4 linked regions of the Rhinolophus ferrumequinum genome follow. Each later gene encodes a partner of the first gene's protein in a complex. Links are inferred from orthologs where the notes say so. Each region holds a gene or a part of one and is shown in the gene's direction. Other genes may lie near its edges. The genes, in order: PRPF8, TSSC4, TXNL4A and LSM6.

Region 1 (6,827 bases):
GTATCTCAAGCCTTCCTCATCTGCTTTTCTGTTATTCTTCTTCTGTGAACTGACTCTTTCTCATGGCTTTAGTATCAAATTTAGTCTGATGCTTCAAGCCCTCATCTCAGCTCCTAGACTGCCACTTCTGTATTTCTAGCCAGAGGACTCCTTCATTTTTATGACCTGCAGTCACCTCCACATTCAGTTTTAAACTCCTCGAACAATGAGGAGACTGGTTTGACTGCAGTGAATGGTCCATAATAATGGCAGTTAATGTTTTCTGTTCAGATATTTTCCTGGCTTGGTCACTTTTCCTCCTCAATTGAGCTTCGTCAGACTAACTCAGACAGACTGTGTTTGACCAGTTAAGAGACATTAAGAGAAGTACTTAATTTCTTTAAGTTTTAGTTTCTTGATTTGTAAATTATTTCATTTGCACATGTGTTTCCTAGCTATAAAAGAAAAAGCTTGGAAATCATTGTCAAGTAGGTCAAATCATTGGCAAAATATCAAAATTCTGCTTGGAATTCAAGACCAGCTTTAATTTGGCTGAAATTTTGCCATCCAACATTATCTATGCTTCTTAGCATGAACATAGAAGATGATATGGCAGTATGGTTAAAAACATAAGCTCCAGAGCCATTTTTTACTGTTTCCAGTATTTACTGTCTGTGGGGCTTTGAGCAAGTGGCTCAATTTCTCTGAGCTTCAGTTTTTTTACCTATAAAGTGAGGCTAACAATAACACCTACCTCATTGGATCATTGTGACAATTAAATGAACTAATACATATAAAGTTGTTAGACAGAACCTGACACATGTGTCATGCAATTAATCATGTGACCCAAGGCAGGTTACTCCACCTTTCTGAGCCTGGGTTTCTCATCAGTAAAATGGGGATCGTAATAATAATAACTCTCTTGTTAGATTGCTTTGATTGCTTATTTATTTATTAACTTTTTATTGTGAAATAATTTTAGGCTCACATGAAAGTTACAAAATAGCACAGATAGCATAAAGATAAACCTATAGATCAATGGGATAGAATTGAGAGTCCAGAAACAAATGGTCAGTTTATTTTTTGACAAAGGAGCCAAGACAATTCAAAGGGGGAAACAATAGTCTTTTTAATAAATGATGCTAGGACAACTGAATATCCCCATGCAAAAGAAAGTATTTGGACCCCTATCTCATATCATGTACAAAAATTAACTCAAGGTGAATCATAGACCTACGTGTAGGAGCTAAAACTATAAAACTCTTAGAAGAAAACATAGGATTGTGTCTTTGTGACTTGGATTAAGCAATGATTTCTAAGATTTGACACTAAAATCATAAACAATAGAAGAGAAAATTTTAAAAGTTGGGCTTCAAATATATGGTGTTGGAAGGAGAACTGTCTCTGGGTGGTGAACACACAATGGGATTTATAGATGATGTAATACAGAATTGTACACCTGAAATCTATGTAATTTTGCTAACAATTGTCACCCCAATAAATTAAAAAAAAAAGTTGGGCTTTATACAAATTAAAAACTTTTGTCTTTCAAAGAACACCGTCAACAAAGTGAAAAGATAACTCAAAGAATGGGAGAACACATTTCCATATCATATGTATGACAGGGGACTTGTATCTAGAATATATAAAGAACTCCTACAACTCAATAATTTAAAAAAACAACTCAATTTTAAAATGAGTAAGGGATCTGGAAAGACATTTCTCCAAAAAAGTTATATGAGTATATATACTACACAAGGATGAACTTCAAGAACATTATACTAAGTAAAAAAAAGCCAGTCAGAAAAGACCACTATTCTATGATGCCATTTATATGAAATGTCCAGATCAGGAAGACCTATCGAGACAGAAAATAGATTAGTGGTTGCCTAGAGCTGAGGAGGAGGAAGTAGGAGGATATGGGGAGTGAGTGCTAATGGTTACATCGTTTCTTTTAGGGATGATGAGAATGTTCTGGAACTAGATAGTGATGATAATTGCACAACTCTGTAAACATACTAAAAATCATTGGATTGTGTACTTTAAACAGGTGCACTTTATGGAATGCCAATTATATTTCAATAAGGCTGTTTCGAAAATAGTACAGAGAGTTCTTGTGTACTCTTTGCCCACTTGAGAAGTTCCTACATAACAATAGTAGGACAATCAAGACCAGGAAATCGACATTACTATTGGCATGATTACAAATTGACATTAGCAGTACAATAGTGTTAATGAAACTATAGACAGTATTAGGATTTTACCAGGGTTTAAAACAATAACTGGTACATAGTGAACCTTCTACAGGTGGTAAAGACTTCACTACAGTAACAATGATGAACACGATGATGCTGCTGAACTTTCTACTGCAGCCAGGTTGAAGCTCTTTTCAGAGCATGCCATGTTTGTGCCTCTTTCTAAATGCTAATTCTAGCAGTTTCTACTACCTGGGATTCCTTTTTCCTTCCTCTTTCTCTACCCCATCCAATCCTTCAAATCTACCCATTGCCATCAAACCTTTCATAATGCTCCTCTCCCTTCTTTGAACTGTATGAACCTCCACACCAGCCAAAACTTGTCTGGAATCTTCCTTTGTATTTTTCTCTATTTTACCTTTGACTCCCAAATTCCCAACAAGATTGAGAGGCTGTATTGGTTACAATTCCTCTGCATTCTCCACAATAAACTTGGTGTGATTCAAACAAATTTATGTGTTAAGTCAGATTGAAAGTTGTTACCAAAGGATGGAGCAAGAGAGATGGGAGGGCAGACGGGTGGCTCAGTTGGTTAGAATGTCAGCTGTGGGCCAGGGGGCTGCCAGTTGGATTCCTACATGGGCCAGCGAGCTGCGTCCTCTGCATTTAGAATGAAGTCAGTGAGCTGCCGGTCACCTCCCTGGTGGCCAGATGGCTCAGTTGGTTGGAACAAGGGCTCTCAACCACAAGATTGCTGGTTCGACTCCTCCACTCCGGCAAGTAACAACAGCAACTGGACCTGGAGCTGAGCTGCACCCTCCACAACTAAGATTGAAAGGACAACAACTTGACTTGGAAAAAGTCCTGGAAGTACACGCTGTTCCTCAATAAAGTCCTGTTCCCCTTCCCCAATTAAAGAAAAAAAAATCTTAAAAAAAAAAGAGGGATGGGAAGTAAAACAAGGATGGTAGGAGGATTGTAGGAGATGGAGAGCAATTCAGGCAGAGCCTGAGGGACTCAAGAAGCATTTATAGGCTGTCCAATATAAACTCCATAGTGTAATCATTGCCAAAGAGAGAAAAGAGGACTGGAGAGGGAAGGGAAAAGACACCCAGAAATGTTGTTCCCCAAGACCTTTTATTTTTCTATGTTGGCAGGCAGGATTAAATGTTCTGCTCCCGAACTCCGATCACAACACATCTTAAGAACCTGGGTTCTTGTTTGCATCCCTGCTACCCTGTGAACTCAGTGAGGTTGGCTTTTTCTTTGCTATATTCCCACTAATACATAGTGGGTACTCAATATATGATGGTTGAATGAATGAATGAACAAAGGACTGGATGACTTGGAGCTAGTACTGCATCTCAAGTCTACATTTATGAGACTAGACACAGAATAATGTGCAGATTTTGACAAATTTATTAAAACTCTGGAAGCTTGGGTTTCTCACGATCAGAGGACAGTCGCGGATAAGACCGCGAGGCTTTATGAAAGGGCCCAGAAGCAGGCTCAGAAACGCGGGAGGCGGGGCTTGCGCCTGCTCCGACCACACCCCCTCGCATTCTAATAATTCCGCCCATGGGCCCGCCCCCTCCGGCCCGATATGCAACTCTAATTGGTGAGTTCTCTAACTTGTCTGAGGACCTCGGCGCCTATTGGGTCAACTACTGAACCCGGGTTGCGCACTTCCCGGCGTTGGGAACGCGAAGCGGACGTAGGCTTGCCGCCATTGCGGTGCCAGCGAGCGGCGGGCTGCGAGTTTGGGGGGCTGTAGGGGTGCGTAGCGGGCTTTAAGGGCTGGCTGCGGGAGGCGTGGTGGGGTCAGGCTGAGCGGCGGGAGGGATTGGGCCGGGCCGTGCCTACTCTGAGCGAGGCGGTACTGCAGGCCGCGGGTATCGACGCGTTCCTGCTGCGCCTCTTGTAGGCCCCGGCCCTGTTACTCCTTAATTTTTTTCTTCCGCCGCCCCCCAGATTCTCCGGACATGGCCGGAGTTTTTCCTTACAGAGGGCCGGGTAACCCGGTACCCGGCCCTCTAGCCCCGCTGCCGGACTACATGTCGGAGGAGAAGCTGCAGGAAAAAGGTGAAGAACGCATGCGGGAGCGGTGCCTACGGGCCCGGAGATGTAGGGACGGGTGTGCGCGCGTGCGCATCGGGTTTGAACCCTTTCCCTTTGTTTTGGCAGGTGTCAAAACATTAGGCGTTAGCGCGGTTCTTAGCCCCCTCCCCATTTATTTTTTCACCTGATCGGGTCTTGAAGAGCGTCTGTTATTTGCAGGCACTGATCCAAACAACGGAGATAACAGTAGCGATGCAGACAGAATCCCTGCCCTTACAGAATTTAAATTGCAATGAAGAAAATAGAAAATAAAAAACTTAAAAATCTGTAATAGAAATGCTAGGCAGTGATAACGTGATGAAGGAAAAAATAAAGCAGAGCGAGTTGATGAGAGAATTGGCTGGGAATCTCTTTCTGGATGCTGGCCTCTTTTTCATACATCCTGACGGGAGCCTACCCTAGGGCAAGAGGTGGGGAGGAGTAGGCTAAGGGTCCCTTACCTGAGTTCAGTCCCTTAAACTGAGGTATCTTTGTAGCCCGAAAATGGCAGCAATTACAGGCCAAGCGCTATGCGGAAAAGCGGAAGTTTGGATTTGTGGATGCTCAGAAGGAAGACATGCCCCCAGAACATGTCAGGAAGATTATTCGAGACCATGGAGACATGACCAACAGGAAGTTTCGCCATGACAAAAGGGTCTACTTGGGGTAAAGAACATCCTGGAATTTTTTTTTTTGGAGTCTGGCCCCTTTCCCTTCTCTCTGTCCTATAAGTTGTAGTCCTGGATAGCTGCTCTATCATTTGGGACGTTAATCTTCTAGTACAGCCTGTCTTGATGATTAGAAGAGAGGAAACCACTAGGATCCTGTGATAGTTTCCAGATCTTCCAATTATGGTCCAGATTTTACTTCCTGATCTGGGACTGGAGCTTTAATTTGTGCTGTTGGTACTATGCTAAGATGTCCCTGTCTTTGAATGGGTTGAAGCCCAGAACAGGACACTTTGTGCATTCTTCTTGCCTCTCACTCCTCAGTGACCAGAATTCTCAGGTTTGGGAATAGTTAACTCCTGCGGTCTCTATACTCTTGTTTGTCTGTGGTCTGAGCTGGGTGAGTACAAATGCCGTAGCAAATCCCTTTCCCATTTGGACATAAAAATGTTAGCTACTTAATGAACTAGTCTAAGACAGCCATGGAAGTTTTGTTTATTTCAGAACTATTTCTTGAGAACTGCTAGGTGCAAGGGAGCACCTAGCAGGGAACAGGAAGTGGTAGTCTTTCTGGAGCTTATAGTCTAGTGGCATGACAGACATGAGACAAACGGTTACAGTAAAGTATCTGAATACTTTATTATTTATGGGAAAGTACAGAGAGAATAGAAAATGAGACAGCTTAAAAGCTGCCTTTAGAGGGAGAGCTGTAGATTTAGAGGGACTGAAACCCAGTATTGTGGGACTGTGAAGTTTAAAACTGGCATAGTTGCGGTGGGGGCAGAGTTCCTGGTCATGGAGGGCCTGTGTGCTAAATTTGGGAGTTGGACTGTAAGGCAGAATTTTCTGTGGGATATGATACTGTGATACCATGTTGCGTCTCTTCGTGGAACAGGTAACAGAACATCTTGTGATTTCTAATCATCTCTTCCTAATGCTGCAGTGCCTTAAAGTACATGCCCCATGCAGTCCTCAAACTCCTGGAGAACATGCCTATGCCTTGGGAGCAGATTCGGGATGTGCCTGTACTATACCACATCACTGGAGCCATCTCCTTTGTCAATGAGATTCCTTGGGTCATTGAACCTGTCTACATCTCCCAGTGGGGGTGAGAAGGGCCGGAATACGGCGTGTGGTGGTGGTGGTGGTGGTTGGGAGGCATTGGGTAGAAACCGTTGTGTGACATTGTTGGCTTCCAGGTCAATGTGGATTATGATGCGGCGAGAAAAAAGAGACAGGAGGCATTTCAAGAGGATGCGTTTTCCCCCTTTTGATGATGAGGAGCCACCTTTGGACTATGCTGACAACATCCTAGATGTTGAGCCGCTGGAGGCCATTCAGCTAGAGCTGGACCCTGAGGAGGACGCCCCGGTGTTGGACTGGTTCTATGACCACCAGCCATTGAGGGATAGCAGGAAGTAAGTGTGGTTGGAGTAATTACCACTCTTGTGAGAGGTTTGGAAGTCCAGGGGTCTTGAGAGAGCAGTTGGTAGTGTGGCTTGGCTAGCTGGTATACCTGTCTGACGTGGGCCTGTCTTTTTTCCCTTAGGTATGTGAATGGCTCTACTTACCAGCGCTGGCAGTTCACACTGCCCATGATGTCTACTCTCTACCGCCTGGCCAATCAGCTCCTGACAGACTTGGTAGATGACAACTACTTCTATTTGTTTGATCTGAAGGCCTTCTTTACGTCCAAGGCACTCAATATGGCCATTCCTGGAGGCCCCAAATTTGAACCTCTTGTTCGAGATATCAACCTACAGTAAGTTGGAGAGAGTAGGGATTTTAGGCATCTTGGCTTGAATAAAATCTACTCTCGATCCTTAAGATCCATTGTAACTTCCAAACTCTTCAACTGGTCTGCTCGTCTTTGATTTTGTACCCTAGG
Region 2 (7,918 bases), on another chromosome or scaffold:
AAGGCCACAGAGGGCTTTCTGGAGGAGATGGCCTGGGGGCTGAGCTGGGGGTGGGGGTTGGGCCTGTCCCCCGGGGGCTGGCCCTCACTGAGTGTGACCACATCCGTCCCCAGATTGCCAAGGACGTGAAGCAGTTCTATGACCAGGCCTTGCAGCAGGCCGTGCTGGACGACGACGCTAACAATGCCAAGACTGTGGTGAAGACCTTCCACGAGACGGTGCGCTGGCCGGGGAGGCGGGGGCTGGGGGCCGCCTGAGGTGGGTGGCAGCCGGAGCCTGGCTGGTGCTGTCTGACCTCAGCCCAGACCTGGGGTCTGGCAGCTCTGCTCTCAAGGGCCGAGGGGCTTCCTGTGCCAGCCCTGGGGGGGCTTCTCTGGGACCTTTGGGTCCTTGTGGGAACCAGATAGACCAGGCCGGTGGGAGTGCAGCCTGGCTGAGCTGGAAGGAGGGAAGGAGGGGCCTTGGGCAACGTCCTTCCCGGAGGGGACATCCCAGCCCCCACCCGCACGCCAGAATGGGGAAGCCGTCGGGATGCATGTCCCTGGCCGTCTCCCCACACATGCGTGGGGCTGATCGTGGGCCCCCTGGGTCTCTGCAGCTCAGCTGCTGCGGCTCCAACACCCTGATCTCACTGGCCACGTCTCTGTACAAGAACAATCTGTGTCCCTCGGACAGCAACTTCATGAGCAGCGTGTTTAAGGTGTGTGGCAGTGGGTGCGGCGGGGCGCCCCAGGCGGGCTGGCCGGCTGTTCCCCACTTCTCTGCGTCCCTGCCCCCTGCGGGTCCCAGGTGTTGGGTGGGCCCCCAGGGGCACGTCAGGGACATGGCCACCATGGGTGGTGCTGTGGTCTGAGTCGGGTGCTCTGCCTGGGGGCTGTGTTCTACTGATGGCCCCCAGGGAAAGTGCGGGTTCCGATGGGGGAGTCTCAGTGTCCGGCAGCCAGTGGGCGTGGAGGGTGACCCCTTGGTCAGCATCCATCCTTGTGATGCTGAGTGGTCTCTGAGTAGAAGAGGGTGCACACAGCACATTTGTTTTGAACTGGATGTAAGATAAAACCCAGCAGAGACCCGGCCCTGTTCACGCCTCTTCTGAGGGCAGCCAGGGCTGTGCCCCTCCGTGCTCTTTCTGCAATGACCCCAGGCTGCTGCATTGCGGGGGGCCCGAGGACCAGCACCCCTGACCGCCCGCTGGCCATCCCCCACAGAAAGACTGCCACCAGAAGATTGATGAGCTCTTCTCGGGGAAGCTGTACCTCATCGGCATTGCGGCCATTGTGGTCGCTGTGATCATGGTGAGCAGGGGCAGCAGGCCGTCTACTCAGGCCCCGTGGGTCTCGGTGCTGGCTGGGGACTGACGGGGTCTCCGGGTGCTGACGGGGTCTCCGGGTGCTGACGGGGTCTCCGGGTGCTGACCGGGTCTCCGGGTGCTGACGGGGTCTCCGGGTGCTGACGGGGTCTCCGGGTGCTGACCGGGTCTCCGGGTGCTGACCGGGTCTCCGGGTGCTGACCGGGTCTCCGGGTGCTGACCGGGTCTCCGGGTGCTGACCGGGTCTCCGGGTGCTGACGGGGTCTCCGGGTGCTGACGGGGTCTCCGGGTGCTGACGGGGTCTCCGGGTGCTGACGGGGTCTCCGGGTGCTGACGGGGTCTCCGGGTACTGACCGGGTCTCCGGGTGCTGACCGGGTCTCCGGGTACTGACCGGGTCTCCGGGTGCTGACGGGGTCTCCGGGTGCTGACGGGGTCTCCGGGTACTGACCGGGTCTCCGGGTGCTGACCGGGTCTCCGGGTGCTGACGGGGTCTCCGGGTGCTGACGGGGTCTCCGGGTACTGACCGGGTCTCCGGGTGCTGACGGGGTCTCCGGGTGCTGATGGGGTCTCCGGGTACTGACCGGGTCTCCGGGTGCTGACGGGGTCTCCGGGTGCTGACGGGGTCTCCGGGTACTGACCGGGTCTCCGGGTGCTGACGGGGTCTCCGGGTACTGACCGGGTCTCCGGGTACTGACCGGGTCTCCGGGTACTGACCGGGTCTCCGGGTGCTGACCGGGTCTCCGGGTACTGACCGGGTCTCCGGGTGCTGACGGGGTCTCCGGGTGCTGACCGGGTCTCTGGGTGATGGCGGGTACTGTCGGGGTCTCCGGGTGCTGTCGGGGTCTCCGGGTGCTGACGGGGTCTCCGGGTGCTGACGGGGTCTCCGGGTGCTGACCGGGCCGCCTCCCACAGATCTTCGAGATGATCCTCAGCATGGTGCTCTGCTGTGGCATCCGGAACAGCCCTGTGTACTGAGGCTCCACCGCTCTGCCCGGCGGGACCCCTGCGGTGCCCCCAGAGCGACCTGGACACTTTGAGGAGGGTATATAACCGCCTGTGTATATAACTTTTCTGGTATTACTCTACTACACTTATTAGTCCTTTTACTTTTGAGGTTTTGTTTTTGTCCTGAAGTTCCCTGTTACCTTTTGGGGCTGACGTCACCTGTACGTGGCGTGTGAGTGGGCCTTGGGACTGCAGGACAATGGCCCCCTCTGCTTCTGAGGCCTCTTGGGGGACTCCGCCTATTCAACCAGGCCTCTCCAGGGGGCCGAGGGGGCCCCCCCACTCCAGCTGTGCCCTCCCTCCCACCCACCTGTCCCCATGGGTTGCACGGCTCACGCCTTTTTTAATCCGTGTTCCTCTCCTGCCACCTGTCTCTAGAGCTGGGTCTATGAGTGGCCTTATACTTTCAATGCATCTGTCCTTTCTAACACGTCACCTACGATTGTAATTACATCTTGAAATTCATTCAATAAAGAAGGAAAAACCAGGCATGCTAACAAACTGTCCAGCCCCTTCCTGTGCCCACAGCATCTGTCCCGGGGTGGCCCAAGGGACAGAAGACCCTCACACAGGTGGGGCTCAGCTCTGTGGACTTTGCCGGGCCCAGGTATGCTGCCCACCTTGTTGGGGTGTCCGGGGAGGACTCCATCCTCCAGGTGGCAAGTGCCCCTTTGTTGGGCCCTGTGCTGCCTACAGAAGCCTCCACCCAACCGCACTCCCAGCTCTCCTCCTCATGCATTGCTGCCAGGAGCGGGCAGGGCGGGTGGGGCGGCCAGGGACTGTGGTGTAGGGCATGCTTGAGGTGGGGGATCCCCTTCTGAGGGACAGCTCTGTAGAGGACAGATGCACTGCTCCCTCCCGAGTGTCTGAGGGTCCTCTCCTTGCCTGTGGAGAAGCTGGGTGGCTGTGGCCAAGTGGCATCCTGCAGGGGCTGGAGGGGAAGGTCTCAGCCACACCCAGGAGGGGCCACCTGGCCCACCACAGCTGTTCTTCCCATAGGGCATGGGCCTCACACAGGCACTGACCTGTGTGCACTTTATTGTTTTTTTTTATTGGGGAAGGGGAACAGGGCTTTATTGGGGAACAGTGTGCACTTCCAGGATGTTTTCCCAAGTTGTTGTCCTTTCAGTCTTAGTTGTGGAGGGAGCAGCTCAGCTCCAGGTCCAGTTGCCGTTTTCTAGTTGCAGGGGGCGCAGCCCAATATCCCTTGCGGGACTCGAGGAGTCACACTGGCAACCTTGTGGTTGAGAGCCCACTGGCCCATGTGGGAATCGAACCGGCAGCCTTCGGAGTTAGGAGCACGGAGCTCCAACCGCCGGAGCCACCGGGCGGCCCTGACCTGTGTGTACTTGAAATTGACCCCTTGAGGCCACGAGGCCTGGCTGGGGATTCGGGAAGGGCTTCCTGTGGCCTTCTTGGGGGCTGATTTTAGAAACGAACCCCAGCCCTGCTGCACTGAGGGTTGGGGTGTCATGGGGCCTCCGTGTGCCCCTCCACATCTTGTGCTAGGGCAGCTTGGTTGGGACAGTAAGACGGCCCACGGCGGCCCCTCCTCTCTCCTGGCCCCTATGCTCGAGGCCGCGGGGACATCCTAGCAGAGGGCTGGGTGTCACCTGCAAACTGGTTCCACTACAAAACCAGTGCTCGGGGTGGACCGGACCAGCACTTCCCCACGAGGCCACACGGGGACGTGGGGGCGCTTAGGAATGAGGTGTTGCGAGCTTGCACGGAAAAACAGGCTGTTTCTTCCTTGGTTTCCCGGGCCAGGCGGCAGGGCCTGCACACCGGATGCGCGGAGCACGCCAGGACACCAGGCCTGGGACAGGGACCGGGTGCAGCAGGCCAGCCGCTAGGGGCTGAGGCGCCGCGACCTTGTGGGGCACGAAGCGGCCCCAGAGGGAAAGGGAGCAGGGACACTTGGCCTGACCAGGGGAGACCGGGACCTGTCCTCCACTTCCCGGCAGCACTGACCAGTCTGGCCATCGGCCGGCGGGGCCAGGTCGCCACTCCCAAGTGGCCTGCCCCCCCCACCCCCACCCCTGCCCCCGCCCCGGCTGCCCTCCAGCCCTAACACACTCGGAGGTTGAGATGAGCGCTCAACCTGCGGTGCGCACGTCTCTCAGAACCAGAGGGGCGCGGCCGGCCGCTTCCGGCCAGGGCCGGAAGTGTCCGCGAACGGCGCCGCGTACGCCGCGCACTACGACGCACTTCCGGTTTGAGGGACCTCTCATCATGGCTTCCGGCTGCGCGCGATGGGGCCACGGGAACACGGCGCTGACCGTTAGCACTCGTGTATTCTGGGAGTCGCGGTTCGGCCTCTCCCTCCGCCCCCTTCCCCCGCCCGCCTCCTCTCAGTCGGTTCCGGGCTCTTCGCGAAAGAGCGCCGCCATTTCCGGGGAGTGGAGGCTGCGAAGAGAGCGCATGCGCAAGGACTACAAGTCCCGACAGGCCTCGGGAGTAGCGGCCCAGTACGTTTTAGGAGATGTAGTTTTTCAGGGGCGGAAGCCGCGGCACTCTGCCGGCGGGGTACTCAATTTCCCATAGGGTCGAGCGCGGCGCAAGATGGAGGCGATCGGGCCACAGTGAGCCGGTAGGTTGGTGGTGAGGGGATGGCGGCACAGGCCAGTCGGGGCCTACTGCCCCGAGCCCAGAGACCCCCGTGCCTCGAGGCCTGGCCCTTGGGACCCCGAGACTCGTGCGGTCCCCGGACCGTGGCCCAGCCAGGCCGGCTTGGTCCCCGAGACCCAGGCCCGACAGGGAGAGCCTGGTGCGCAGGCGGCGAGGCTCTGGGCACGCACAGTGCAGAAAGTGAAGACTGCTTCCCAGGAGGGAGAGAGAACCCACTTCCTGGGACTTGGCCTGCCTAGACCCCGGCCCTCTGACACCCCTGCCCGAGACCCAGCGCCACCCCCGCCTCGGCTCTGCGGCCACTGGGCTCCCGAAGTGCTCGGAGAACTCCGAAGAAACGGATGCCCGGATGCCTTCTCTGGGGGGCTCGGTCTCCCCGTCCCCCGCCCCCCGAGTGTCCCACTGATTCTGCTACTTCTCGCAGTCGCGGGAGCGTCCCCAGCGGTGCAGCGGACGGGAGTGCGAATTTGGGAAACAGGAGTCGGCTTGGAACTGCGGGGCCGGCTCTGTCGCCCCTTCGCGCTCCTGGAGGTAGTCCTTCGTTCAGGAATGGAGGGCTCGCCTTTGTTTGCCCCGGGACAGGGCCGTCAGAGCCCCTCCTGGCCTGTTCCTCGGTGGGTGCGTCAGCAGTGAGTCCCCCCCACCCTGCGGCGAGGGAGGCGCGGTGCGGGGGGAGGAGGCGGTGAATGGACGGCTGAGAGCAGGGCAGAAGCGTGAGGCTGGGCTGACCCCTGGGCCTGGACACACAGGCCGCGAGCTGCCTGGCCACACGTGGCCACCACACGGGTGTCAGCAGCGCTTCTCTGCTCAGCTGGGGAGGAAGCAGGGGGTGCGGGGAGGGCTGCGGGAGAAGAGACATGCCCCCCGAAGGTGCTCCTAGAGCCGCGGCGGCTTGCCTCTGCCCAGCGTGGCTGTGCGCGGTGATCACAGACGCTCCACTTGCCTGAGAGCTGGACCCTCAGATGCCGAGGACTTGGCTGCACAGCCCCCTGGGACTCCAGGGTATCGCCCAGCAAACGGGAACAAAGCTCCCCACATGCCAGGCAGGTGCCACGCGCCACGTAAGCAGCGGATAAGTGGTTGCACTCGGTTGTGAGTGGGAGTGTTGAGCGGGGGCCGCCCTTGGCCCTGGGTTCAAGGGCCACTGGCTGCTCACGACCGGAATCTTCCACCAGCAGTTCTCTTGGTCGCTCGAGTTGGGCTCCACTTGAGAGGATTGTTGGGACTGAAGGAGGTGACATGTCAAAAACACCTGCTCGCTGGCCTGGCCTGGCCCAGCCCGTGTCGGCGGCTCTGTAGACCCAGGCCCACTTCCGGGTCATGGCACCCCCCCACCCCGTCATGTTCGCCTTCTGGGCTGATGGTTGGCTCTCCCTTCTCTCTCTCTCAGCTACGCTTGAACAGCTGAACAGAGCTGTGCCTGGAGACCTTCTAGGCGGAGGCCACACCCACGCCTTTGCCACCTCTGCCAGCGGCTCCGTTCACCATCCCCTGCAGACAAGGAAGGTGAGGAGGATCGTTCGGGGGGAGAGGGACCCGGGGCAGTGGGTCTGCAGGCGAAACGTGTTTTAAACCCATGGTGTCCTCAGAAACCAACTTCATGGGCTGTTTTGGTCTAGGTGTGGTGTGGCCCAGGACACATGGCTGAGGCGGGGACTGGCGAGCCCTCCCCTGGCTTGGAGGTCGAGCAGGGCCCCGAGTATGATGATGTCCTGCCTTCTGATACCATCTCCCTCAGCGACTCGGACTCTGACCTCAGCCTGCCTGGCAGTGCTGAGCTGGAAGCTCTGTCCCCAGAGGGGCTGCCAGGGGAGGCCCAGGGGGACTCAGGCCCCGACGAGCCCCCCTCGCCCCCCAGGGCCCTCCCTACAGCCGCAGTGCAGCCGTTCCACCTGAGAGGCATGAGCTCCACCTTCTCGCAGCGCAGCCACAGTATCTTTGACTGCCTGGAGGGGGCAGCCGGGCGGGCGCCACCCTCTGTGGTCCACACTGGCCTAGGGGACCGTGGGGGCTTCAAGCGGCCCCTGGCGCCCTCACGCCAACCTCCAGCAGAAGGCCCAGGCAGGGCCAGTCAGAGCCCTGTCCCCCGGAGGGCGCCCCCCGTCCCCGACTATGTGACCCACCCTGAGCGCTGGACTAAGTACAGCCTGGAAGACGTGGCCGAGGCCAGTGAGCACAGCAATCAGGCTGCCGCCCTGGCCTTCCTGGGCTCCCGGAGCCTGGCCGCCCCCGGCCACTATGTGCCCTCCTTCAACCAGGACCCCTCCAGCTGTGGGGAGGGCAGAGTCGTCTTCACCAAACCGGCCCGCGCCGGCGAGGCCAGACCAGAGAGGAAGCGGGGTCTGAGAAAGGCAGGGGCGCCTGGTGGGGCTGAGGGGCCTGTGGAGCTGGCCCACCTGGCCAGGCCCGGGAGCCCAGAGGCCGAGGAGTGGAGCAGCCCGCGTGGGGGCGTGCAGGAGGTGGGCACGCCCGAGGGGGACACCCACACCGAGTCCGCAGCGGGCCCCCCAGGGGTGGACATTGTTGGCTTCCACGGCAGCAGGAAGCGCAGTAGAGACCACTTTCGGAACAAGAGCAGCAGCTCTGAGGTCCCTGGTGCTGAGGGGGCTGAGGGCTGACCCGAGAGCCTGCCTTGGACTTGAGGAGCCCCAACCCCTTGGGAAGGAAGCCGGTGGGCTGCCTGTCGGTGGCGCCAGCGGCCCTGGCTGGGGCTCAGGCAGTGGACTCGAGCAGAGACCTTGCTTGCCACTGATGGGCCCACTGGGTGCCCGTGGGGAACAGTAAAGCTTTTGGGTATTCCTCAGGCTCTGTGTCTCTGTGCAGACCCCACCTCCCCAGGACCCGTTGGCTGCAACCTTCTGTGCTCTCCAGCCTGCCCGGTCACCCGTTCCCACACTTGGGCCTACCCGACAATGTCGGTCGGGGGCTCGGAGAGGTTTTAAAGCTCCGCCTGCTCCCCTTGGTGGCAGAGCTTCCCA
Region 3 (7,090 bases), on another chromosome or scaffold:
TGTGCACAAGAGACTCAGAAAAGAGGCTGAAGCCCCTCTGCTTTCTTATCCTTCGCATGATATTATCTTAGCATGGAAAATTATCTGATCAGTACATGACTAGATAAGGGGACCTAAAAGATTCAGCTATGCCAAAGAGTTCGGAGTCCTTGACAATCTGTTTGCTAGTGAGGGATTGATGAAAACTGAACTGTTTTCATCTTTTGTGATGTTTCTTTAGTCACCAGGTATCAACAAGCCCAATATAATTTAAAACCACAATGTGTCTCAGCAAAAACAGGTGCTACACTCCTGAAAAACTAGATTCCTATAAGGGAATAAACTATGAGCTAAAATCTGATGTGAGTGTTAGGCCATATTTAGGCCAGGAACAGGAAGCTTCGTATCTTAAAAGCCATCTCATCCTGCTTTAGGCCTTGTATCTTTCACTAATGTTTGCCTTAGGCCTGGAGAAGCCTCCAGGAAAGCAGAAACCAGCTTATCCTGTCTTGCTTTGAACTCTGGCTCCTAGGGGCTTGTGATCAGTGGGCCTGGGCAGACGGAGGCCTGGGGGCCAGGGTGTGGAGCCAGCAGGAGGGCTAGGTCATGCCCTGAAACCCTTTGCTGCTAGAGACAATGCAACAAAAACCCCCTGAAGCATTGAAGGGGGAACAACTTTGTTTACCCCCACCTATAAAACTCTATACCCCTTTTTGCTGGGGGAGGTTATGATCTTTGCAGCTCAAACATGCCAAATAAATTCTAATAGACCAATTTTGGTCGCTCGCAACTCACTCATTCCGCCAGCCATGCCTAACAGTGAGTACCTGAATTTTACCCATTTAAAGCTTAATCTGCCATTGCCTATAGCTCAGAAAAATAAATACCTGTACAAATTGACCTTTAATTTCTAGCAGAGTCCCTGAAGCCACCTTAAACCTCTCAAACGCGGCAGGAATAAATAATAACAACGTTGGTTTTCCCCTGTTAAATCCTTTAGGATCTTGAAATACGGGTCAGGATGCGTGTCAGGACTTTAACGTGGCTCACCTATCCCAGGTGAGGTCTGGGGTCACAGCCACGCCCACGCGGCAGAGCTCGGTCCAGTCTCCGGCCCACGCCATGACATCCTAGGGGGCACGCTTACAATGAAGTAAGTAGTGCTACATCTGTTGTCCTTGATAACTAAGCGGCCCGTGGTCCCTCTGGGGGCTTATTGATAGGAGGATGTGGAGAAGCCACTATGGCAAAGGGACGTTGAAACTACAAATACTGTGAATTTGTAAGGGCTATTTTGAGAGTTTCCGTTTGGATGAGGGGACTCTTCCTGACCTGAAATCTCTCCAGAAGACCCCTGGGGCATTCCCTCCTGTTTCAGCATCCCTCCTGGACAGTGGTGATAAACCACTGGGAAAAATGGATGGCATCCTGCCTCCCAACACTGTAAGGTTGCAGAATGCAAGATCAGTATACAAACACCAATTGTATTTCTACACACTAGTTATGAATAACCTGAAATTATTTAAAATAATTGCAGAGAAGGGGCAGCCAGTTAGCTCAGTGGGTTACAGTGCGATGCTCATAACACCAGAGTTGCCAGTTCGACTCCCACATGGGCCAGTGTGAGCTGCGCCCTCCACAACTAGACTGAAACAACTACTTGACTTGGAGCTGATGGGTCCTGGAAAAACACACTTAAATAAATAAAAAAGTTTAAAAAATAATAATAATTCCATAGAAAATAAAGACCTAAATAAACAGAAAGACCTCCCGTATCCATGGACTGGAAAACATAATATTAAGACAGCAATACTCCCTAAATTGGAGTACAGATTCAACATTTCCTATCAAAATCCCAGCTGCCTTTTTTGCAGAAATTGACAAACTCATCCTAAAGTTCATATGGAATGCAAAGGACGCAGAAAAGCCAAACCAATCTTGAAAAGGAACAAAACTGGAGGAGTCACTTCCTGATTTCTAGACTTACTACTAACACAGTACGTGAACTTCATTTCTTATAGCATGCATATTGCTTTAATCCAAGCAGGCTTTGTTTATCCTGATAAAACTATGATTCACTTGCATTTAAGCCCTTAGGACACTGGGTTCTGGTCAACACCAAATTCACTTAAGAATAAAGCGTCAGGTCTATCAATCATGACCAAGACACAACCACCAAACCTCCAACTAGAACAAGGTTTGACCCTTGGCCTCAGTTATGCTTCAGCTCTGGACTCATGAAAGCGGATCGGCCCCACAACCGCACCCCCTGCGAACTGGATCAAACAAGGCCATGACTGACACCAGGACCCACAGCCATGACCAACTGCTCTCTGCTTTGGCCCCGACCAATTAGTGGAGCCCACGACCCCCACTCCCATAGAGACCACGATTAATGATTGTTCCCTCCTGTAACCTGGCTGCTAGAGCCATCGGGGAGCCAGGTCTTTGAGAGCAATAGCTCACCCGTGTCTCGGGACTTGGTGCCAATTCCTTAAATACACCTTTTCGTTCTCTGCTGCAAACTTCTGCTCATGTTTTGTTTTGGTTTGGACACAACCCCTGGTGTCAGCGGTAATGCTACGAATTTACATTAATTAAGATAGTGATACTGACATAAGACTACACAGAGAGATAGATGAATAGAATTAACACTACAGAAAAAAATCCTTATAAAGTCAATTGATTTTCAACAATTTGGTTGGGAAATAACCTTTCCAATAAATGGTGTGGGACAACTGGATATCTACGTGCAAAAGAATGAAGCTGGGGGGTGGCCGGTTAGCTCAGTTGGTTAGAGCGTGGTGCTGGTAACACCAAGGTTTCCATTTTGATCCCCACATGTGCCACTGTGAGATGGGCCCTCCTTAAAAAAAAAAAAAATTAAGCTGGACACCTATCTAACAAAATACACAAAAATTAACTTAAAATGGTCACAAACCTAAATATAAGAGTTAAAAGTAAAAAAACTCTTGGAAGGAAACAGGAGTAAACATCATGAACTTCAATTAGGCAATGGTTTCTCAGATATGACACCAAAAGCACAAGCAATAAAAGAAACAAAATACATACATTGGTCTTATTCAAAATTTAAAACTTGTGCTACAAATGACACCAATAAAAAGTGCAAAGTCAATCCACAGAATGGGAGGAACTATTTCCATATTGTGTGTCTGGTAAGAGAAGAGTTGGTTCCACAACTCTGAACAACTTGACCTTAAGTGGGTGACTTTCACATCACAGTCTGTGTGAATGCTGCCTCAACAAAGCTTTTGAACAAAAGACCTACTATCTGAAGACAGACAGTGCTGACGGCTGCAAACGAGGCGAACCAGGCAAACGTAGTGAATGCCACTGAATGCTTCAATGGGATTAGAATGGTCACTTGACATGTACTTCACCACATAGAATGTAGAAACGCTAGTCGCAGTAAATTATTTGGGGGCATTGGAGTCTTGTGCATTAGCTTGGCGTACTTCTGTTAATATACTGCTTTTGACAAGTAAAGCGAACCGTGTTGTAGGGCAGGGGATCCTGCCGACTTCACCATGTGTCATGCAGGGTGTCCTGCGGGGTCTCTGGTCCCGCTCCCCACATAAGAACGCAGGATATGGTGAGGCCAAACAGGAACACCCACGGAGCCATAGGTAGGGCAGTCACACCACTCTACTCTCGCTGGCGGCTGGGTTGGAGACACAGGGACCAGGAGCCACACAATTCTCACCCCTCACTGCGCCGCTTGCAGGCTCAGCCACCATCTTCTTGCTAGCCCCCATTTGCTGCTAGCCTAGCCACGGCAGTTATATTAGTGGCCAATGGCTCACTGGTTACAGCTGACGGCCGTTTGATCACAGTCGATGGCCATTTACTACCTGAGCCAGCACCTTTCTATGTGAGGCCGAGAGCCTGGAAACTGCTTTTTGGGGCTCTGTCCCCACACGTGTTTATGTCTGGAACGGGTGAGCGCCAAAACGACTACTCTGGGGCCTCCGCGTGGGAGTGAAGGGGACACGCCCCGCCGCAGAGGTGCCCACCTCTCGGGGCGGCCCCACCACCGCCCGCGGTCCTCTCCGTCCGCCGCCGCCTCCGCGGGGCTCATGGAGTCCTCTCAGTTCAGCGCCGCCTCCCGCCGGTCGCGGGGATGTCGCGGGGAAGCCCGGGCTCTCTGACGCTCTCACCGGACAGACAACAGGTCTCACAACCCACCGCAGCCATCCCTCGCAGCAAAACTCGCTGCAACCACCAGAACCCAGCGCGAGGCCTCCCAGCTGCGGACACGCGCACGCACGACGGGCACGCACGGCGGACGCACGCTCGGCAGACACGCGCACGTGCACGTCAGGGCACGTTAGTGCGCGTCCGCGCCGGGGGTGACCGCTTCGCGGGAGGTGCGTGTGAGCCGAGGTGCAGGGAGCGGGATTCCGCGGGAAGTGGGTTCGGCGGGGATCGGGGCCCGACGGGGAGTTGGGCTGGGCGTGTGGGCCGGGCCGGGCCGGGCGGAGAGCGGGGCCCGGCGTGGGATCGGGGCCCGGCGGGGAGCGGGGTCCTGGTCTGTGGGGAGCGGCGCGGCAGCCCCCGCCAGCGCCGCGCGCTGTGGCTGAGGCGGAAGAAGCTCGTCCACCGAGTTCCTCTCGCGCAGGGGCCAGTTCAGTCGCCAGGATGTCGTACATGCTCCCGCACTTGCACAACGGCTGGCAGGTGGATCAGGCCATCCTTTCGGAAGAAGACCGAGTGGTCGTCATTCGGTTTGGACACGATTGGGACCCCACGTGCATGAAAATGGACGAGGTTCTGTACAGCATAGCGGAAAAGGTAACGCAGCCCCATAGCTTCACGTTGCGATCCACCGTCCGCTTTGCCAGTTGGCGGGAAAATTTTAAAGTGAGGTTAAAAACTGCATTCTATGTTTATTCTTAAGGCCTTAATTTCTAATGTGCGGCACAGCCTCCAAATAAAGGGAAGACGCAGGATTAACACACGGACAGATTTTTACCTTGTGAGGTGAGGATGTGCTCCCTGAAATCGTACGTAATAGCACATGTCTTTTTCTGGGAAAAGTTTCCATACATTTTCAAATTTTAAAGAGGTTCGTGATCCCTCTCCTGAAATAAGTTAATAAATCCTAGGGATAGGATATTTTCAGACTATACATCTGTAGCACCATGAACAAAACACATTTGCAGACTTTGGCAAGGGCGTTGGAGCTTATTTTAAATAGCTTAGTTTAAAAGGATTGTCCTTTTTGGGGGACTGTGTTTATTTGTTGAATTTATAAAGCAGAACTCTTATGTTAATAGCATAATAAATCCTGTTCTTTTTCTTTTTGTCGTTTTTCTTTTCTTTACCCCACCATGCTCTTTGTAAGTCACTAGATTTATAGCTTAGAGTGATTTAAATGAAGGGCCTGGTAGAAGAAAGTAGAATTGTGCTTTGTTACAGCTAGTTTTCCTAATTTTTAATATTAGTACACTGGTTTGTCTGTGGCACTTATGGGATGACAATAAAAGTGCAATTGTAGGGCACTATTGTATAACCAGACATGTAATTCTTTTGTTTATAATTTCCTTGTGGCGATTTTAAGTTAGCTTTGATTTGTATTTTTGCAATTGTTGCAAGAGGACAAAAGGCAAATATATTGGGGTTTTCATGAAATAATTAACTTATTAATATTCTATAAATGATTTGAGAGGACATTCATTTTAATGAACAGTAAAAGTGGAAACACTGAAGACATCTTTCATGGGAATAGGAGATGCTAAAATAAGCTGGGTTAAAATAACACCTTTGAGTGAATAGTATCAGATGTAAGGATATATTTTGAATTTAAGAAAGGAAAAGCTATCTGACCTGCCATTGCTAATTTTTACTGTCTCATGTTTGGTAGAAGAGTGAGGTGTGGGTGGTGCGTTGTGCAGCTTCCATGTCAGTCGTCATAGGTACCACTGGCACTACTTACCAAAGGGCATAATAGTGATTCTGAATCTGTAGGTCTGGGGTGAGGTCCCGAAACTGTGTCATTAAGAAGTTCCCTTGGGAACTGTGATGTGACTCTCAGAAACCCCTCAACAGAGGTCAGGGTTATCATAGGAGTGCTGCGTCTGTCAGCGATCCCCTCCTCTTCCTCTTGGACACCAAGACATTGAGGAGCTTGAGGAGGTGCCTGGGGAGCTCTGGAGAGGGCTGTTGGCTTACACTAGGGGGCCTCCCAGTTGGGGTCAGAGGTCATGAGTCAGGTGGTACCAGGGAGTCATTTATTCATTGTTCAAGCTGTAGAGGTCAAGGGCAGCTACTGCTGACTTCAGTGAAGACGACCAAGCACTTCTCCAATAAGCAAATCATTAGCTTGTTGACTTTGAAATAACTCAGGGTGTGTGTTCTCGATTCTGCCTCACAGGTGGCGGCATAACCTCCAGGTGATGTCCGATCCTGCTGCCCTCAGCACGAGGCCAGGATGGCTGGAGACCTGAGGGTTGGTTGGCTCTTCCTGTCTGAGCAAAACTCAGCAAGATGCTCTTAGCTAGGAGGCATATTTTGTGAGTTAACGTAAGTGTTCAGGGACTTTCACCAGAGTTGTTCTTTCCTAATTCCTTTCTGTCAGTTACAGACTGAGGTTACAGCCGTGTCAGTAGTAAACACATTCTTTTTTTTGTTTTGTTTTGAACCTGTTGATCAGGACAGTTTTAATTGGGCTCACTTTGAATATTTTTGTTTGGTCTTGAAGTTTCTCTTTTTCTTTTGTCCAAAAATTTGGGTTTTTATTTTAATAAACTTTTAATACTGTATTATAATATGCAGTTCAAAGTGCAAACTTGAAGTGCATTCCAAGACTATTAATGTTTTATTTTCTTCTTAGTATAAGGGCAAAATAAGACTATAATTCTGGAAGCTCTCTCTGGAGAAGCTCAACAGGAATTTTTGAAATCGAAGGCTTTAGTGTAAAGAACAATTTAACTCTGTTTAAAAATCTCCCTCTGCAGAAATGGCAGACAATGGGGGATCCTCCTCACCTTGTCACGAGCCCTGTTTGGATATCCCAGCTGTTCTGAAGTGAGTAAAAGTTCAGTGTTGAGGCCGAACCTGATGTTTCTCCTGGAATGTGGTGTATTGAACC
Region 4 (7,495 bases), on another chromosome or scaffold:
TTTTAATTAGTTTCACTGTGGTAGAATTAGCTTCATTGAAGTGGATACACTCCAGTGAAAGATGAGCGGCAGCCTATGTACCACAGATTTCCAACATAAACTATAATTCATAAAGGCCAGCACAACTCTTTTCTTTGCAGCTGGGTAACCATTTATGTTTGAGGTGAAGATGTTAATATGGAAATTTTGTGAGCTAGGAAAAAGGACGAATGCTATCATTCTAATTTATGACCTTTCATATAAGGCCAAATGTAAAGGCAACTTCAATTGTTTTATATCTCAGGGCCAGCACATAGCAGATGTATGAAATTTGGAGTGTTAGACATAAACTTTTATTACCAAATTATAAATAATTTCTCCCACTTACAATGTTCACCTTTCAAGTTCATCTTGATTAAAATACAAGGGCAGCGTCACACCGATTTCACTGAATTTTACAGCTGAGAGAGGTTTTCTAGAGTTCACAGTGGAGCATAAAGCATCACAGCATTTGAAAGACTCTCCTCAGAGGAGCTCAGACCCTGAGACCTTCACTTTTGAAATCCAAGTTATACTAAAATGCTGGCCAATGAAGTCGGAGCATTTATTTAAACATTTCAAACATTATATCTGGAACCAAGTACCTGTGATGCAGAATATGTCCCATCTTATGAAAAATAAAAGGCACACCGACTTTCCTGAGAAATTTGTCCTTCAGTCAATAAGTTTATATTACTTCTCAGAAGATATTACAGTAAATACAGTGTTGAATAACATAAACACTGGCCCTGCACTCACAGAGAACATATGAGGGAGAAAACATACACACACACACACACACACACACACACACACACGGAGAGTTATTGAATTGTGGCATTTACAAGTGGTACAAAGGAGAAGTATAGTATTCTCTGATCATGAACAAGAGGAGGAATATCTAGTGTGAGGGATTATCAAAGGCTTTCTCTAAGAAATTTATGTTTGAGTTAAGGCCTAATGTCTGATTAGGAGTTGGCCCAGTGAAGTGAAGAGCCTGGGCTCTAACTGATGAAACCAGTTTTAAAGCACTCGCAGTCACCCAGAAGATGATCAAGTCAATAGGAGGAAAAACGGAAGTGACAGTTTTAAGGCTTATGAATACAAGAGACAAGGCATTGGCCCCATGTGGGGTAGAGAGTTGGAATTGAGACTCTGCATAACAGTGAGATGCTTGAAAGGCTACACACACACACACACAGAGAGAGAGAGAGAGAGAGAGAGAGAGAGAGAGAGAGAGAGAGAGAGAGAGGTATTTAACAACTATGTGGTGTCTTTCTTTTCTTTTTCTTTAACACATAGGTTTTTTAAAAACTTTTATTTATTTTAAGTGTGTTTTTCCAGGACCCATCAGCTTCAAGTCAAGTAGTTGTTTCAATCTAGTTGGGGAGGGCGCAGCTCACACTGGCCCATGAGGGGACTGAACTGGCAACCCAGGGGTTACGAGCATCATGCTCTAACCAACTGAGCTAACCAGCTGCCCCAACACATAATTTTTACATCCCATGATAAAAGATAGATAATAGTGGTCTGAATACCCCGAACTAGAATATGACAGGTGAGATGTTTTTGTTGTCCAGTCCGAAGGTCCAGGAAAGGTCCAAGTGCATGCCAGCAGTTCATACCAGTAATGCATTGCTGGAACAAGACCAGCCAGTGTTCTTAGAAGGATAACACTGATTTAGGTATTAAAGTCTGCTTTGGAGACTGTTGGCCAATGCAATTCCACATTTGTATCTGTCATTGTTAGCATAATACAACCACCCACATGTCCACAAAGCTGTTTGTTGGATGTTTTTAAAAAATAAGCTAGACATGATACTTTTTCTTATGAACATGAAACACTGAAAAACAGTTTTCTAAAGGCATAGGACTATAGAAGTGCGGAACAAATAATAGAATGGTGAGCGTGAACCTTAGTATTTTTATACTAGCGTTTGCCTATTTTGACAATAATAGCTTCAGAGAACGAGAAGATAAGCCACAGACTGGGAGAAAATATTTGCAAAAGGCATAGCTGATAAAGGACTGTTCTCCAAAATATACTGTCAACAATAAAAAACAAACAGTCCGATTTAAAAATGGCCAAAAGATCAGAAAAGACACGTGACCAAAGAAGACATATAGTTAGCAAATAAGCATATGAAAAGATGATCCGCATCGTCTGTCATCAGGAAAATGCCAACTAAAACTGCAGTGAGATTCCACTACACACCTATTAGAATGACCCAAATCCGAAACATTGGAAACACCAAACCCTGTGCAGATGTGGAGCAACAGGATCTCTGATTCACTGCTGGTGGGAATGCAAAATGCTACAGCCACTTTGGTAGACAGTTTGGAAGTTTCTTACAAAACTAAACATTCTCTCCTTATACAACCTAGCAATTGCACTCTTTGGTATTCACCCAAAGAGTTGAAAACTCAACCCATGACTTGAAAACTTATGTCTACACAAAAACCTGCATACAGATGTTTATAGCGGCCTAATTCATAGTTGCCAAAACTTGGAAGCAACCAAGATGCCCTTTAGTGAATGGATAAATTCTGGTACATCTAGGCAATGGACTATTATCTAGCGCTAAAAAGAAATGAGCTATAAAGCTATGAAAAAACATAGAGGAACCCTAAATGCACATTACTAAGTAAAAGAAGTTGATCTGAAAAGGCTACATGATACTGCTTGATTCCAACTTTATGATATTCTGGAAAAGACAAAACCATGGAGAAAGTAAAAAGATAGTGAGTGGTTGCCAGTGATTAGTGGGGATAGAGGAGGGATGAATAGGCAGAGCACAAAGGATTTTTAGGGTAGTGAAAATACTCTGTATTATACTGTAATGTTGGATACATGTCATTATATGTTTGTCATATAATGTACAACACTAAGAATGAACCCTAATATAAACTATGGACTTAGGGTGATAATGGTGTGTCAATGTAGGTCGATCAATTGTAACAGTTAAACTAAATTAAACTATGTAAGCTAAACTAAAGTTTGTCAAATTATTTTTATGACCTTAATAAATTACTGTTTGTGTTCCCGTGTTTGAAGACTAGTCCTTGGTGGACTAGTATTCAGAAAAAATCTTGCACATGTTTTCTTTGTAAAATTACAGATGCTAAAAAAATAACTTGTGAAATATGGAAAGTTGCTTTGTGAGTTGAGAAAAGCTAATTATAAGTTGCTGAGAAGGTTCTGGGTACAACCACATTTTGATAAATTCGTTAGCTTTTGCAGTCATTCATGGCACCCATCTCGATTGTCTAGTTGGGCCCTTACAGATCCATGCCCCTTGGAAAGGTTGAAGCTACCTCTAGAGATGAACCATGCCCTTAAAATTCCTCATTGCCCCCTGACCACCATACCAGTTTTAATGGCTCCATCGGGGCTCTGTGGTAAAAGGGAAGAATTAAAACAAGAATGTTTTGAACAATTCAAACAACCAGGGAGAACTGTGGTACAATTTGACGTCTTTTGTGAACATTTTTTAGGGATAGGGCTTTGTATCCTACTATGTTCATTCTTTGTAGTTATTTTAATTTAAATAAAACTTTACTTAATATTTTGGTTTACGTTATACTTTATACCGCAAAAACTTCAAATATAGTCTTTCAATAAACCTGTGATGCTTTATCTTTACCCAAAATGAGCTTTTATATGAGGATATAAGAAAGTCTCTCTTTTCTACCAAATCAGAGAATGTTTTGGTAGAACATGCCTATGTTCTCTGAACCATACCAATCAAAGGTTCATGCTAAGAGATAGGCTTATAAGAGGGGAAAAGCATTTTTTTGTCTTAGAAAAAAAATTCTGCATCTTAGATTCTATAACGCTTAGGGTTAAGAATCTGTTTAAAGCTGTTATCACTGTTTATAGTGTTCTAAATTATATAGAATTAAAGTTTAAGTTGATGAGGGCATGTGTGTAGAGATAAAAGGAATCAAGTGAGTATGAGTTTTCCTCTCCCTTTCCATTAATTACAAGAATAGAGACTTCATGCTAAATTCCAAACCAAGTTCCCATAACAGCACTTAAATAATGCCTGCCCACCATTTCCAATTAGAACTAGTTTGTAACGTACCTCAATTTATGCCATTATAGTAGAGCTACTTTAGTGATTTTGATTCTTTTTGTGTCAATTAACGTTGCCACGGAAACAATCTCTTGCTAATAATGGCTTCGCCTTCACACAATCAAAATCCAGAGGTGGATTTAGAGATTTGAGGCCACTTGTTTTATGTATTTATTTGCATTAAATTATTCAAGGACATTTCTGGATATGTATAATCATTATTTTAGCAGTAAATCCCAGTTTCCTATGACTTCAAGCTATTTCTTACATGCCTGCCTAAAAGAAGTCTTGGCTGAAGATCACTTCCTCCTTTTCTTTTTACGTGTTTTTTTTGGGGGGGATGGAGTGCTTTCCGTTAAAGGAGAGCACACCAGCGCTTTCCACTTGAAGCCCACAGCACCAACTTTGCCTTTAGGCAAACCAGGATTCTTGGATTTGCGCGCCCCTGCAAGACCCGGTCTTTTTGGTCCCGCGGGCCGCCATAGCCCGGGAAGCACTGATTCGCTGAAGGAGAAAAGTGCGGCTGCCTTGGTGGTTTCAGTTTCGGTTTCATCCCGCTGTCGGCGGAGGCGGGGCTTGTGGGGCTCCCAGAGTGGGGGTTCCGGATCCCGGCCGGCAGGTGAGCTCGCGGTCGCGGGGGGCGTGGGAGGCCCCAGTGTTCCCTAACCCCGGGCCGCTTTGGGGAGTAGCAACTCCGGGCCGGCCCGGCAGCCCCGGGAAGGAGCGCCCATCCCGGAGCCTGCCGGTGGCGGGTTCCCCCAAATGCCGCGCTCACGTTCTCTCCTGCGCGCCTAGAATGGCTGGGAGGTCTCCGGTCGTGGGGTCTGGGGTCCCTGAGCCCGGCCCTGAGGCCCCTCCCCGGGGGGCGCTTAGACCGCGCGGTGAGGAACGGCACCGGCTGGGCTGGGGGGGGGGGGTGTAGTTCCGGAGGTCCTCCTGGGGATTCGGCGGGAAAGCGGACCCCGGCCACGGGGCCAGGCCTGCAGCCCTGCGTGGTGGCGCCCGGCCTCCGGGAACGAATTGCTGCGCCAGCTCACCTTACCGCGGTTTCAGGTTGGGGATGCCCACGACTGTGTAGTGTTAAGCCTGTCACCGGGGTTTTGTGTGTAGGGGCGCGCGCGCGTTCATAGCAGGTATTTTTGTTCAGGGTGTCTGGGGTAGGGTGATGCAGATAAGGTTGATCGCGATTTAGTGTACCCCCTTATTAATAGGAGACTGTTGTAGAAAAGCTGAAAATACGGAAGTTCAGTGAAGAAAATCATTCACTGAACCCGTCCACCAACAATTTCTTGCTATATTGTACTCTTGCTTGTGCTCATTTCTCCTTGAACTAAGAGCACTCATTTTATCACTTAACACTATATTTAGTTTTCCAATTTCATTTAAAATTTTTTCTTAAATATCATCTCTAATGTTGTATCCTTTGATTGTTCCGTCATTGTGTAGGTCCCATAAAGTTCTCAGGCATTTCCCAACTGTGGGGCGTTTAGGGTATTTGTGAATTCTTGTTTCAGTTTAGCATCTCAGATAGTACTTTGATAAACTCCTTTTTAAAACTGATTTCAGAGTATTTACTTGGACTAGATTGTGAGAAGTAAAATTGTTAGAATAGATGCTGTGTTCTAGTAAGGTCTTTTTAGGTCTTCATGCCTATTGCCAGATTGTTTTCCAAAATAGTTTTAGTAGTTTACATCATTCTTGTAGGATTGTTCCTGTTTCACCAAAAGTAGTGATACATTTCCAGTACATCAACCAGGAAAGTTGAGCCTCTCTTTGGATTTTTTTTTTTTTTTTTTTTTTTTTTTGGTGCTGTCTGGCAATTCTGCTTGCTTGAATTTTGTGAAGGAATCTTCAGAGGTTATGTTTGTGTGTGGGAAGTTACTGCATAGGCTGTTAGATCACTTTAGTCATCAGCTAGCATAACTGCCTTATTTTGCAGATGAGGGACCTGGGGCTTTGTTTGAGAGGTGAAGTGATGAGTGATGGGAGAGGCACAGCAAATTAAGTAGCAGAGCGGGATTAGAACTCAGGTTTCCCACCTCTCAAGGGCGTCAGGTGATCTCTTACTAAACTGGCATACTCAATATTAGAATTTAAAAAGATGTTTACATCACTTGGATTATTCTGTCCTTTTAGAATTTTACCAGGTAACAGATTTTAATCATCTCAGGGATCTGTGACACTGAAAAATGGGAAAGTGACCATCTTCATGGCCAGGACTGGGAATCCATTATTTAGAATGTCAAGCCCTTCAAGATTTTTTGACAGTTGTTTTCAGAGTCTCTAAACGTTGGAATAAAATTTCTAATAAGTTATAATTTATATTCTATCATGTGGTTAGAACTTAAATGTTTGTTCCCATTTCTTACACCTTGAAGGTTTTTTAAAACTTCTTGTTGCGTTAAGACCAGAGAACAATGGTTTTTTTGCTAATCGCAGAGTTTCTCCACCTCAGTTGACGTTTTGGGCAGATACTTTTTTGTTATGGAGGGCTGTCCTGTGCTTTGTGGAAGGGTAGGCAGTGTCCTTACCGCTACCTACTATTAGGTTGGTGCAAAAGTCATTGTGGGTTTTGCGATTATTTTTAACCTTTTAAACTGCAGTTACTTTTGCACCAACCTAATAGATCCCAGTGGCACCACGTCCTCATTCAGGACAATCCAGAATGTCTGCAGACATTTCCAAATGTCCCTAAGGGTAGGGGGCAAAATCCCCCCGGTCAAGAACTACTTGCTTCTAGGGATTATTTGGGAAACTTTATATAAATTCCAGGACCCCTTCCCTAGAGGGTCTGACTAGGAGTAAGCTGCAGGATCCTGCATTTTAGCAACATCTCTGTTGATTGGGCTGCAGCTGGTTCTTGGACAACACAGAAACGTTTGTTTCCTCCATCCTTCTTTTATTTGGTGCTCAGTAATAGAGATGTGCCTGTGTTACAGCTGCTGAAGTGCATGGACTGTACTGTCCTCGTCACTCCGCGGAGCTGGGCAGGGGAGGGACAGGCTGGGCTTGGCACAGCCCTTAAATGCCTCTTCCTTAGGCTTGGGCCATGTGCTTAGGTACCAGGGATACCACAAGAGTAAGGCATTTTCCCTGTCCCCGAGAAGCTTAGAACCGCGGGTGGGAGACTGGTCAGCCGGAAAGGAAGGCTCTGTTTAGAGAGCTGTCCTCAGTGTCTGAGCTTTCCCAGACACAGATGTATTCGGCTAAAGCTGCATTTACTTGGGTTGTAATGTTATGTTTCATAACAATTTTTTGCTTTTCAAACTTTTTTTCACCCTAAACTTTAAATACTCTAAGAATAGGTGAAACTTTACAGGTAGGCATTTCCAAGAAACAATGATTTGCATGTCTTCTGCTCAGTGACATAGCTCAAAATCACATTGGATATATTTCTTTCC

What was found.
Region 2: the proteins of PRPF8 (region 1) and TSSC4 are in contact, whole or in part, in a cryo-EM structure (PDB 7PX3), measured with the Homo sapiens proteins. The link is inferred for Rhinolophus ferrumequinum from reciprocal best matches to the Homo sapiens genes PRPF8 and TSSC4. Residues at the interface, in NP_006436.3 of Homo sapiens: Thr2087, Asn2088, His2089, Ile2090, Tyr2091, Val2092, Ser2093, Ser2094, Asp2095, Lys2108, Leu2111, Lys2112, Glu2184, Thr2219, Pro2220, Thr2224, Leu2225, Leu2262, Leu2263; in NP_001284587.1 of Homo sapiens: Pro153, Asp154, Tyr155, Glu160, Arg161, Trp162, Thr163, Lys164, Tyr165, Ser166, Leu167.
Region 3: PRPF8 (region 1) and TXNL4A share a complex: the UniProt entries of both Homo sapiens proteins name them as parts of the U4/U6-U5 tri-snRNP complex. The link is inferred for Rhinolophus ferrumequinum from reciprocal best matches to the Homo sapiens genes PRPF8 and TXNL4A.
Region 4: PRPF8 (region 1) and LSM6 share a complex: the UniProt entries of both Homo sapiens proteins name them as parts of the U4/U6-U5 tri-snRNP complex. The link is inferred for Rhinolophus ferrumequinum from reciprocal best matches to the Homo sapiens genes PRPF8 and LSM6.

Annotation. Positions count from the first base shown.
Region 1 is NC_046304.1:16,246,450-16,253,276, forward strand, and holds the start of PRPF8 (pre-mRNA-processing-splicing factor 8), read left to right. Parts: upstream 1-3,820; 5' UTR 3,821-3,950; intron 3,951-4,145; 5' UTR 4,146-4,156; coding exon 4,157-4,256; intron 4,257-4,768; coding exon 4,769-4,937; intron 4,938-5,882; coding exon 5,883-6,047; intron 6,048-6,138; coding exon 6,139-6,357; intron 6,358-6,488; coding exon 6,489-6,701; intron 6,702-6,826; coding exon 6,827-6,827. UniProt on the Homo sapiens protein: Plays a role in pre-mRNA splicing as core component of precatalytic, catalytic and postcatalytic spliceosomal complexes, both of the predominant U2-type spliceosome and the minor U12-type spliceosome.
Region 2 is NC_046294.1:1,585,801-1,593,718, forward strand, and holds TSSC4 (protein TSSC4), read left to right. Parts: upstream 1-4,908; 5' UTR 4,909-5,281; coding exon 5,282-5,471; exon of another isoform or gene 5,472-5,554; intron 5,555-5,569; exon of another isoform or gene 5,570-5,976; coding exon of another isoform or gene 5,977-5,983; intron 5,984-6,330; coding exon 6,331-6,446; intron 6,447-6,559; coding exon 6,560-7,558; 3' UTR 7,559-7,750; downstream 7,751-7,918. Other genes in the region: CD81 antigen, read left to right, coding at 114-218, 599-700, 1,206-1,292, 2,220-2,282. UniProt on the Homo sapiens protein: Protein associated with the U5 snRNP, during its maturation and its post-splicing recycling and which is required for spliceosomal tri-snRNP complex assembly in the nucleus.
Region 3 is NC_046302.1:60,340,869-60,347,958, reverse strand, and holds the start of TXNL4A (thioredoxin-like protein 4A), read left to right. Parts: upstream 1-4,090; 5' UTR 4,091-4,120; coding exon 4,121-4,367; exon of another isoform or gene 4,368-4,409; intron 4,410-4,618; coding exon 4,619-4,791; intron 4,792-6,373; exon of another isoform or gene 6,374-6,522; intron 6,523-6,956; exon of another isoform or gene 6,957-7,026; intron 7,027-7,090. UniProt on the Homo sapiens protein: Plays a role in pre-mRNA splicing as component of the U5 snRNP and U4/U6-U5 tri-snRNP complexes that are involved in spliceosome assembly, and as component of the precatalytic spliceosome (spliceosome B complex).
Region 4 is NC_046301.1:19,252,631-19,260,125, forward strand, and holds the start of LSM6 (U6 snRNA-associated Sm-like protein LSm6), read left to right. Parts: upstream 1-4,485; 5' UTR 4,486-4,713; intron 4,714-4,720; exon of another isoform or gene 4,721-4,975; intron 4,976-7,495. UniProt on the Homo sapiens protein: Plays a role in pre-mRNA splicing as component of the U4/U6-U5 tri-snRNP complex that is involved in spliceosome assembly, and as component of the precatalytic spliceosome (spliceosome B complex).